Linked DNA regions of Oryzias latipes. The protein of the gene in region 3 binds, or shares a complex with, the protein of the main gene of each other region. Links are inferred from orthologs where the notes say so. Each region holds a gene or a part of one and is shown on either strand. Other genes may lie near its edges.

Region 1 (3,651 bases), on a different chromosome or scaffold from region 3:
CAGGCTGGTGCATGGGCGGAGGCAAGGCGAGGTGAAGAAGGCAGCGCGGATCGTCGGACTGACCCATGTGCACCGTGCGGCTGCACGGGACATCTTTAATGCCGGGACAGATTTTGAAAAGAACCTGGTTGCTGTCTTGGTAAATGTCTGAGCATCTGGCTGTCAAGGATAATGTGTTATCTTTGCTATCATTTACAGGAAACATCATTGGGCAAGACTTGGTCATATGCTTATTGATAACTAACTTCTTGTTGGTATGCTGCAGTGAGTGGAAAGTACCAGCCTGCTATGCAAGGATTAGTTCTGCCATTTTTTGTCCGGAAGCCATTCATTGTGCTTAAAACCCACTCCAATGAAAATGTGTTTTGAAAAAAGTTCTTTTCTGATAATGGAGGACATATAAAGAAAATTAACGTCAAATTGTGTTTCTGAGTCTCTCTTAATTCAAGTTGTTGTGAATCAGGAGCAGACAAAAAAAATGCAGCTTGAAGCTCGCTGTAGTAACTTCTACCACCCGCAAGCTCTCTGCTCCGCTCCATTCTGATGCGTCCACTTGTAGATGGCTACCTCCATCTTTGTTTTCCTAGTCTGAGCTGGAATCTGACTGTATGGCAGGATTAACTCCTGCACCATTAATGTTAGGTTGGGTTGTGAGCGGCTGTAAGCTAGCAGGAAAGCGTGTAAACAGATGGATGACGGGAAGTACGAGGAGACTTACTCCACGCCAACCGTCCTGCCCACAATGGAGAGGCGAAGTGCTGCCGCTCTGCAGAAACTATGTCCTAGAAAAGGACAGTTTCTTAAATTTTACCTCAAAATGGCATCATCATGATTAAAAGACCACTGAGAACGCTTTTACAATAATAGTGTAGGGCTGTCAGCTATTCTGTACAGTCAATGAGTCTTTTTTTTTGACGTTTTTTAAATAATTATAATAACCACCAGCCACAAAGTCATTGGGATCACAAAGAACAACAAGAACTTTACGAGGCAGTATAGCTTTTCCTCGACGATAGTAGACGACAGATAAGAACTTGCATTTCTTGCTGCATTCACACCAACCGCGCGTGGTGCATTCAAGGACGCTCTCTATGCGGTCTTAAGAACACGCATTAGCATCAGACAAGAGCCAGACATGCAGGTAACGACAGAAGATTCTTGTTCTTTTGTGCATTTACTGTTTTTTTTAGCGCTCGTCCGCCACCTACAATAGGAAGAGGCTCGGAGCGCAAAATCAATGCAGCGCAAATCACGTAAATCCTGCTCCAGACGTTTTTTCACAGTTCTGTTCCTATAAATAAATTCAACCTGACACAAACCGCAATTATTACTGTCTCCTTCGTGATCGTGTTTTCAACAGCTGGTACATCTTTGTTTAGAAGCAGACGTCACCCACACATCACTGCTAAACCCACGATTGGTCACAGTGCTGCATTCCAGCGTGAGAACCTTCAATCGCTTGAACCTCCAGTGCGCGATCAATCAATGCCCCATTCGTACGTAGAGATGGTGACCAGACTTAAAAACCTGCAAGCGACGCGCGATCACAGGCGTTCCGGACGAGTGAGCCTTAAATTCTGGTCTGCGCCGTTGACTGTAGACCGGGGGGGAGCCAGTGCACATCAGGAACGGTGCACGGCACACTTTAACCTTGACAAAAATCCCGCGGCACACAAGCATCCAAAAAAAAAAGCGAAATTCATGGTCTGTATTGACCGACAGCCCCCCCCTCCCGCAATCTCACGTGCATTTTTGTGATAATTGTGGCCGGAAAAGCAGGAAGTTGCGGCTGTTTTTTCTAAGAGATGAAATAAAATTTAAATTAGAAAATTTAGAAACTGTTTGTTTGTTGTGGTTTCAAGACGTTTCACAGGGACGACTCATTGTGCGCTGAGACACTGTCCCTTTAAGCCAATGCATCATGGGAGATGTAGTGTGAAAACTGCCGAAAAAGGGCAGACAAACTCTGAGCTTCATTGTTCTGTTCACTTGTTCCACGGTCTGACACCGGATTCTGTGGAAAGCTACACCGCTTAAGACGAGCTTTAGCTGGTATTTTTGTTAGAACTGAGAGACTTTATCAGCAGAATTAAGAACAAGGAAGTGAAGATTTAACCACTTCTTATTGGTCAGACTGATGACATGTGATTAAGCCTTCAAGAATGATTGGCGGAGACAGTTAAAGGGGCGGGACTTTTCCGCAAACTAATATAGCTGCAGGTAAATCGCGGTACCGTCATTCTTATTAAAATGTCTTTAATAGAATCAAATAAACACAAAGAAATAAGTATTTTAAGATCTTTTATATTCCTAACTTCTCAGTGTTTTATCAGGGCCTGTTTGGATGAACAAAGAGCTGATTTCCTGGAGATGGAAAATGTTTTTAGATCAGTAAATGAGGGCAATTTCCCACGACACACTTTACCATCTCCCACGGCACACTGGTTAAAAAACACTGGCTTGGACGATGGTTTAGTGCAGGGATCAGAACCCCCATAGCTTGCCAGCAAATTATGGCTTTTTTCTTTTGTGCTGAAATATAGCTTACCTGCAACCTTAAATTTTTTTTCGCTTTTATAAGGATGAAATTGAAATTCATAACCTATACATATAAAATTTAAATTTTTGTGAAAGCCCCATATGCTGAGCATTAGCAGTGCCTTACTTGACCTCCACGGACTGAACACCACCACTATCACATTTTAGAAAAAAGAAAATTGCACATCAATTTACATAAACAATAATCGTTGACTAATCGACTACTGAAATAGTCGTTAGTGTCAGCCGTACTGGAGTGGGTCTTCCATGAGTGTTTACCCATTGATAGAAGCTCTCTGTCTTTTTAAAGGCTCAAACAATTTAGAATTGCACACAGAATCCTGTCAAAGCAACAGTTTCTCCAAACAGGGTGACTAAAATTTAAAACCTTTTCATTAAAAAAAAAAAGGTTAAAAAGTGTAATTATTTTGTTCCTTCCAACTGAAATGATTAGCTCCTTTTTTACAGGCGAGGACAAATCAACAGACCACAGGAAGGATGTTAATTTAGGCCCTTTAGAAAAACAGCAGTTACAACAAACTACTGCTTTTGATCAGAGCCAGGAACAAAAAAGATTTTAAATAATCAATAACAGAAATGCAAGGAGTGTAAAGAATGTAAAGAAACAGATAATACTTTAAAGATGGTTCACATGGAAAGGATACGTGAAACACAGTGACGAGCCATTGGAAGGCAAGGATTGGTACATCTGGTTCCCTCCATGAAGGAGATGCATGTGTCATTTGCTGGTTTGTTCTGGAAGTTGGACAAACAGTCATTTAAAAAAGAAAAAGAAAAAAGTCACAATGTTTAACGTCAATACATTTGACACCAGGCAAAACGCAATGCTCTGCTTTCACAGACAAAAACATGTTTGTGGCTGCTTTAAAGCAGAAAAACAAAAATGGGTGAAATGGAAATTAAAGGTGTAAAGACCTCAGACACAGCAAACCATCTCTCCATCAAAACACGATGGGAAGAGGATTGCTACCTGTCCCTGACTACACTAACTCATTTTTCACACACTGTCAAAATTACTACCCATACTGGAACAGTAGGTGGCAATATTTGGTCTTTTCACAGATAGACGCCTATCAGCTGGCCAGCATGCCA
Region 2 (4,095 bases), on a different chromosome or scaffold from region 3:
AATTTTGCGGTCTTTTGCTATACGCGTATTGCACAGCTTGATATCGCAATAATGATACATTTGTGACTTATTGTGCAGGCCTAATTTACATCATGCTGTCTGCATTCTGACTTTCTTCTAATGAGAGTGGATATAAAAAAGGAGTGTTTTCTACAAAAGAAGCACCCCTCAGATTTGTGACAAATGTAGAGTTGGCCTGTGCTTTCAACTGGAATAAAACTGCCTCAAAGTCTGCCATATGATCAAAAAATGTCCCTTCTATGTTTGCAGAAGCTGTAGAAAAATAAAATACAATCGTCCAGACAAACAAAACTGCTTGTGCTACTTCAAACGAGTTAACAATAATTTCAAAACATTTAGATCAGTTAATCTAGGTTTTTTATAAGAAAAATAGTCATTACAGTTATTACAATTTGAGTAAATTTGGAAGTTAAATATGTACTGAATAAAGAGGCAAAAGACTTCACTCTAAAGTTTTGAGACAATTTATTGTTAATTAAAATAAGGCTGGGGAGGCCAATTACAATAAGCTTTGTGTTGACTTTAGTTCAAGGTTTATCAGTTCTGTCGGTGATTAGAGTGAAAATACTAGGAATAAATGTGTTGCATGATTAAAATTCTCTATACTGGAAACAGTATGGTAGATGCTGATTGTCGATGATTTGTGACTTACCTAAAATCATATCTATTTTATGTGTTCTTGTCAAATTTACCATCTCAATTTTATTTAGCATCTACTTGAAAACAAAAACATGTTTTCATAACTGGAAATAAATTCAGGTGTCAAAGGATTAGGGAATCATCAATAGAGGCCTCTTTAAGAAGTAGAAATAGCACCTCAGCTAAAAAACGGCTGGTTTCTTCTAACAATAAAGAAAGTGTTGGAAATACCATTTCTTGATCCTTTCATTTGTAAAGCCCTTCCATTCTGCTGCTCTCATTTGCCAGCCTGTATAAAGTGTTCTCACCTGTCAAGTCTTCTGCACTGGAAGTGAATGGAGGACAGCAGCAATAACACTCCAGTATTATCAGGCTCCTGCCTCCACAGCTGCATGCAGTGGCGCTCGGCCGCCTCAAAATCTCCTGACTGATACTCCCGGTGTGCAAGCTCAGCCAACCCTTGGAAGGAAAGCATACGTTTTGTTGGTTCTGGACAACCAACACAGGCCAAGGAGGGGGGAAACGACATGTTAGAGGTGATGAAAGAAAATAAAGACGACAAATGAAAAAACAGGAAGAAATAAAAATAGAAGCAAACATGACAATGTTTGTATTAAAATAAATGCCTGACAAATGTAACTTCAAAATGTGATAATGGGTAAAAATGATGACGTCACAAGAGGGAACATAAGGGGGACACTTCACAACTTTTATACAAACTATAAGCATCTGTACATATAAATTAATTACAATTTAATGTATATAAAAAATGCACACTGACGCTTTTTTCCAACTAAGGAAACGCATAATTTATATGTCAGACTAGCTTTTCCAAAATGCAGAGTAAACGAAAACGTTATTAAGTCTATTCGTCATCAAACAGGTGCATCTTGATAGAGAACAGGGAGATTGTGGCTCCACCTACTGTAGCATCTACGTCACTGCTACAAGCTTTTTCCAACAGCATTTTTATCATCTGCTGCTGCTAATTCACGATTGAATTTTAATCTTAAATTTCTTTACATATCATCCATTATAAGAAAAATGCTACACGAACAAGTTAAAAACACGATTTTCATCGAAGTGGGTCTTTATTGTGGGGGTGGGGTGTGTGGAAAAAAACTGCACCACAACGCACGCAAAATCTGCTAATAATCGCGTTAAAGTTAGTTTATCGTTAAAACTGAGCTTGTTCGTCATTTTCTAATTTTGAAAAACATATATCCCTAACATTCGCCGTCCCTCCCAAAAAAAAATGAATTAAAAAATAAGATATCTTTGAAGGCATTTTAGTAGGACACTTCATTTCAGCGCCCTTTATTGCAAACCGAAACGCCCCTTAGCTGGCGGCCATTTTCTCAGACAAAAACCACGAGATAAATGTTCAGTTTAGGATTTAAAAAAATAAAATGTATGAACATAGTGACGCCCAAGGAGGAAAAATGTTGCAGCGCCAAAGATTTAATCGTTTCCTACCCATTTAAACGTCACATCTACAAATACCAACGCTAGCTCGTCTTGACTTAATACTGTTTAGGTTAAGACGCCAAATGAAGGAATATTCGGTACAAATTGGCGAAAAATATAATAAAATAGCCTTATTATAATATATCTATTAATACATATAAATTGGTACCGTGGTGTTAGAAGAGCGGCGCTACTGGTTTACATACTAGCATCCTCATTTACCTTATTGCTGTGGATTACCAAAAGGGTCATTGTTAGATTAAAATTTACTTTTAAAAACTATTTTAAATCGTTGCTTCTTTCTAAAGGAGGTGCTTTTATTTTTTTGAGCCACTAACCTGTACTGTCTGCCACGTTTCCCACAGAACTCGCCATCTCCCCAGCAGTCTTCGTTTCTTGCACGGCGGTCGTCAATGTGTCGTCTGGGAGCTCACAGCTTCAGAGAAAAATAGATGTATTTCTTATAACTAACTGTGGTCTTTCTGAGACGAAAACTGAAAGCACGTTGTTGTCTGGCTAGGTAGACCGGGTTATAGTTACCTACTAATCTCGTATTCAGAATAAATTTCCTAAAGCCCTACCTTAAAATGCCGCTGTTTGGGTATATTTACACAGATAATGTAGTTACTGCACCTACATATGACATAAAAAATATACCGCTACCGTTCACGATATTCTATCTGCACAACAAAGCAGCTAGTGAACGTAAAATGGCGAATTGGGTGGAACTCGTTTTTGTGATCAACTAGATCCTGACACCGGCATTGATTGAAAATAATAGTTGGGCATTAATACATGTGACTATAAACCCAATATACATTATTATTTTTATTGTATTAAGAAGTTATACATATACATATATATAACCTGATGTAAAATTATACACTTAAGGTAAAACCACGCGGAAGAATACAATGGTGCAGTGAGACTCAAACGGTAAAAGGAAGCAGCACTGCTCGGAGGTATCTGAAAGAGTCACGTGTCAGCTGTGCTGCGAGGAAGTGGAAGGTGCGCTGGTCTAGTAACAAACACATCAACATTACATAACCGTGGGTTGTTTGATTTCTTTTTATTTTCTTTTAGTTCTTCTTGTAGTTTTATTTATCTTTTTATTTTATTTTAGTTCTTCTTGTAGTTTTTATATATATAGACACACACAAAAAACATATTCAAATACACACAAAAGAAGTTCAGATAAGATTTGTAATTCCAGGGACATTTAACAGGTGTTAGCTTTTATTTTATTTTTAACTGCAAAGGGTATTTTCTTAATGTGTAAAGCAAGCATTAAATGTACAATCTACTGTTAAATATCTTTCCACATAAATACTGTTTACTAATCCTTACTAGTTACATATATTTTGTCAACTGATTTTTTTTTAAACTGTAGCCTGATGGATAGAGTTCTGGTTAAATCAACATCAATTGCTATGTGAAGGAAGTTGCCAACAGGCTCAGTTTACATTGAACATCACTGACAGGATGTGTTTGCACCAGAATAACTATTCTTCTAATCTTCAAGTCCCGAGCTTAAACAACTTTATTTCTATTTCTTTTTAAAATATTTCTAGGACTTGCAGTATGTTTATGGTTTTTTTCAACCAAGCAATTTTCCTGCAAGATTAATCGACATCTTCTAACACATCTTATTTTTTGCCAATATTTAATGTTTTTCCTTAATATGTTTTGCCAACATTGATATCCAAACATAAACCCTTGTTTTTCTTTTCTTAATTATGTTTAAATTAATTAGTTTTTGTTTTAACCAAATGTTTTTTAACCCTGTTTTTGCAAACAGCAAATGTACATTTAAGATAAAAAAACAAACAAACTCCTGTTTCTGACATATTAAAAATGTTGCTGGTGTGCTGATGCTGTGATCTGTCATAAATTTGCAAATAAACCAGTTTACTGCAAATTTTAAAATCTACTGTTTACCCTTTTTTCTCTACTGTTTTAATCTATGCT
Region 3 (3,651 bases):
GTGGGGGGGGCCCAGCGGCGCCGGATGGGCTGCCCATCTGCACCTGGGGCTGGGATCGGCCCTTCCCTGGCTCTGGGACGGGACGGGACAACCCTCTCGGGGCCCCCGGTCGCTCTGGGTGTCACCCGCTTCGGCTGCGGGGTCTGGGGTGGGGTGGGGTGGGGGGCTTGTCGGCCCTGTCCTGTGGGGGGGCGTTCTGGGGGGGAGGGGGGGCCCATTATTAGTACGGGTCGGGGGGGCTAGCGGGTCGGGGTCTCCGCTGAGGCAATCAGTGGTTGCCTCGGCCGGTTGGCCTCCTCGGTCCCGTCGAGGCCTGACCAGAGCTCTTCTAGGGCCGGCGTCTGGGGGTGGGGGCCTGGGCTTGCTCCGGGGGGGGGCGACGCTTTCTGGCTCCTCTCTCTCTGTGTGGGGTGGGTGGTGCCGGGCCTGGGGTGTCGGCGCCTCCGGGGGTGGGCCCCTGGGCTGGGTGGCCCTGGCCCCTTTGCTGGGGGTGGGCTGGGGGACGGCTGTTTGACCACCGGGGGACAGTCTACCAGCTGTCCCCAACTTACCCCCTTCCTTATATAACCTCATATTAGGGTGAGGGGGTGGGGGGTTTAGCCTGCGATGCGCCTTGGGGGGGGGCTACTTGGGAGTGGCCCCCCTCCTATGGTTGCCGTATGGAGTGGGCCCCCCCTCTTTCGGTTTTATTTGCACCTTAGACACGTAGGGTCCTTGGTAGGGGGGGTGCTTGGACATCACTGCCAGCAAGCAGCAGATGTCCTCCTGGCACCCTACCCGCCAATTTTAACCGCACCTTAGACATTTAGGGCCCCTTGGTGTGGAGGGTGAGGGGACATCACTGTGAGTAATCAGGAGATGTCCCCTTAGTGCCCTACTCGCCAATTTTAACTGCACCCCCCTTAGTACACACACCCCTCCCCCTTCAATATATACATTCAAACATAAACACACACACATGCACACAAACACCCTCTCAAACACCCATACACGCACACACATTTTACAAGGAAGGTGGGACCTGGGTCCATCTGTCCCCTACCCCGTCCCTGGTGGGGGGTGCGGGCCCCTTGGCGATGGCGGCCGTGTCCCTTGGGTGCCGGCTCCCTGGGCCCGGCGGTGCTCTCTCCGCACGGTGGGGGGGTTCATATTACACCTGAGCCGGGGGTGTTCGTGTCCCTGGGGGGTGGGTCCTGGTCCTTGCCCCTGGGCGCTGGGCCCCGCCAAACTTCCAACATGGCCGAGCCTGGTCGGGCCATATTTATAACATCCCTTATGGGCCGCCCTTTTTTCCCCGGGGTTCCCCCCTCCTGGGCGGGGGCGGCGGGCCCCTGCCTTGCTCCTACCTGGACCAACCGTGGGCCGGGTGGGTGGCTGCCTGGAGTGCGGAGCGGGTCTCCCTTGGGGGGTCCTGGCTCGTACCTGGGGTCGGGGCGGGGGGATGCCCGGAACTCCTGGGTGGTGGTGGGGTGCTCGTCTGGGGCTGTGGGCGTCCCTCTCCGGTGGGGCCCTGCGTTGGGCTCTTCCGGCGCGGCGGGGGGCTGCTTTCCTGGCTGGGCTGGGGCGGCGCTCTCTTTCCCCCTGCGCCTCCCTGCTCTCTGGCTCTGGGGGCCTCGCGGCGGTCCTGCTGGCCCTGGCCTGGGTGGCGGTCTTGGTCGCCCGGGGGGCGGTTGTTCCCTGCCTGTTCCCGTGTGGCGCTGGGGGAATTCCGGCTGCCGCTGCTGCTGCGGCGGGGGTATGGGTGTGGGGGTGGCTGGGCGCTCCTCCTCCTTCTTTTCACATTCCACCATCCATTTTAGAAGAACATAAACACTCACCTGAGCACAGGTGTTAGCTCACCTTTGCACTAATAGTTTGCATGATTGAATGAATGAAAGATTTCACACTAGTTGGTTTAAAGGCATAAGTATGCGTTCGTGAACACTATCTGTTTTGTGTGCATGTTGACATGTGGACATTTCTGCGGCTAGCAGGTGTGTTGATAATATTTGAGTGTGTGTGAACAGGCCCCGCCCTTTTTGTACTACATGTGAACCGTACCGTAACGATAAACAACCAGTAAACCTGCCTGCTCTATGCTGCTTCATGGTCTTACCCCCCTTCCCCTCCTATTATCACCCTCCTACCCCCCCCTCTCTCTAACGTCCCTCTCTCTTGTTCCCCTCTTTCCTTTTCCGTCCGGTCCAACACCAAAGATTTTCAAACATGATTGAAATTAATAAAGTTTGGCCTCAATTACAAAAGGGGTTTATTCAGACATACCTTTGGTTTGTCTGAAGATGAATAACCCCTCTTGTTAGAATAAAATATGTCCAACACAAGAGGCCCTCAGCTCTCATCTGTTTGCCTAGCTGTTGGACAGGACAAGTTAAAAAAAAAAAAAAAAAAACAAAAAAAAAAACATAAACTTTTGGCTTTATAAAGGCATCACCTAATAAAATGACACCTTTCAGCATATCTATTCAGGGATCGCCACAGCCAATCAGCTTTCACCGATTCGCACAAGTGATTTGGCAGAAATTCTTTCGCCAAATGCCTATCCTGACCCAACCGTGTATTTATCCGGGCTGGGGACCGGCACAGGACGACCCAGACTTGTGGCCCCCTTGTGGCCACAAAGTTGGGGGCCACAAGGGAGTAGCGTGAAGGACCTTGCCTAAGGATTCACACTGGATGAAGCTCATTGCACTTCCTTTTTTTTTTTTTTACTTTCAGTAAGCCAAAGGTGAAAGGTAGTTGGTATAAATTTCAATAGCAACTAAAAACACAGCCTTAGAGAAAAACATGTTTAATATTTAGTAACCCTACAGGGAATTTTACTGCATTGAGTCTGAAAGTTATGCAGTGAAATCACATTAGCATGCTTTTATGTGAAACATCAGCAATTTTCTCTATATTTCTGGATACATTGCTCATCAAATTGTTCAGTGGGATAGAAATGAAGATTTTCTAACCTCAGAACCCGAAGGGGAAATGGGAACTCGAAGCGCCGGGGAGGAAGGTCGGCCTCTCTCCATGTCAAAAGGCAGCTCCCGCCTGGGCCGCTTCTTCTTCTCTGTATCCAAGTCCCTCATCTCTCCTGTTCCATGTCCATGACCTTCTGACCGGGTAAGAACACCGGAGAGGAAGTCGGCTATCTCATCCTGAAAACACAGGAGAAAAGTTTACATTACCGTGTTCAAAACTTACAACAGAAGATAAAAAGAGTTTAGCAAAACACCAGACAGCTATAATAACCTGAATGCAGCGGTCCACTATGGTTTGTGTAAGACCTTCAGACTTCATTTTTGCTGAATTGATTCTGTAAAGAGATGCATAAATATTAAAAACAAGACTGGCCTAAAAGCATCTAATATGATGCCATACTTCACATTATCATGAAAGACATCCACCAACCTGAGGTTGTCATCTGCTCCTCCCACCACCACCATGCTGTTGTCTGCCCTCAGCTTCTCTCTAAACTCCTCCATGCTTTCTGCGTTACACTGCAGAGCATGCTGCCCGATCACAAACAACACAGGAGTCTTCATGTCCAGCAGTGGGTCGTCCACATCCTGCAGTCCAGTGACAGCACATCAATAGAGACCAAACAAAACTGCAAGCTGAATACCAGCTTATTTTACAGACTAAAGGCAAAAGCATCTTTTAGAG

What was found.
Region 1: kansl3 (region 3) and kansl2 share a complex: the UniProt entries of both Homo sapiens proteins name them as parts of the NSL complex. The link is inferred for Oryzias latipes from reciprocal best matches to the Homo sapiens genes KANSL3 and KANSL2.
Region 2: kansl3 (region 3) and ogt share a complex: the UniProt entries of both Homo sapiens proteins name them as parts of the NSL complex. The link is inferred for Oryzias latipes from reciprocal best matches to the Homo sapiens genes KANSL3 and OGT.

Annotation. Positions count from the first base shown.
Region 1 is NC_019865.2:25,931,473-25,935,123, reverse strand, and holds part of kansl2 (KAT8 regulatory NSL complex subunit 2), read right to left. Parts: intron 3,295-3,651; coding exon 3,204-3,294; intron 148-3,203; coding exon 1-147. UniProt on the Homo sapiens protein: Non-catalytic component of the NSL histone acetyltransferase complex, a multiprotein complex that mediates histone H4 acetylation at 'Lys-5'- and 'Lys-8' (H4K5ac and H4K8ac) at transcription start sites and promotes transcription initiation.
Region 2 is NC_019868.2:18,366,183-18,370,277, reverse strand, and holds the start of ogt (UDP-N-acetylglucosamine--peptide N-acetylglucosaminyltransferase 110 kDa subunit), read right to left. Parts: upstream 2,829-4,095; 5' UTR 2,503-2,828; coding exon 2,466-2,502; intron 1,150-2,465; coding exon 969-1,149; intron 1-968. UniProt on the Homo sapiens protein: Catalyzes the transfer of a single N-acetylglucosamine from UDP-GlcNAc to a serine or threonine residue in cytoplasmic and nuclear proteins resulting in their modification with a beta-linked N-acetylglucosamine (O-GlcNAc).
Region 3 is NC_019867.2:17,067,752-17,071,402, forward strand, and holds part of kansl3 (KAT8 regulatory NSL complex subunit 3), read right to left. Parts: intron 3,555-3,651; coding exon 3,397-3,554; intron 3,302-3,396; coding exon 3,238-3,301; intron 3,144-3,237; coding exon 2,955-3,143; intron 1-2,954. UniProt on the Homo sapiens protein: Non-catalytic component of the NSL histone acetyltransferase complex, a multiprotein complex that mediates histone H4 acetylation at 'Lys-5'- and 'Lys-8' (H4K5ac and H4K8ac) at transcription start sites and promotes transcription initiation.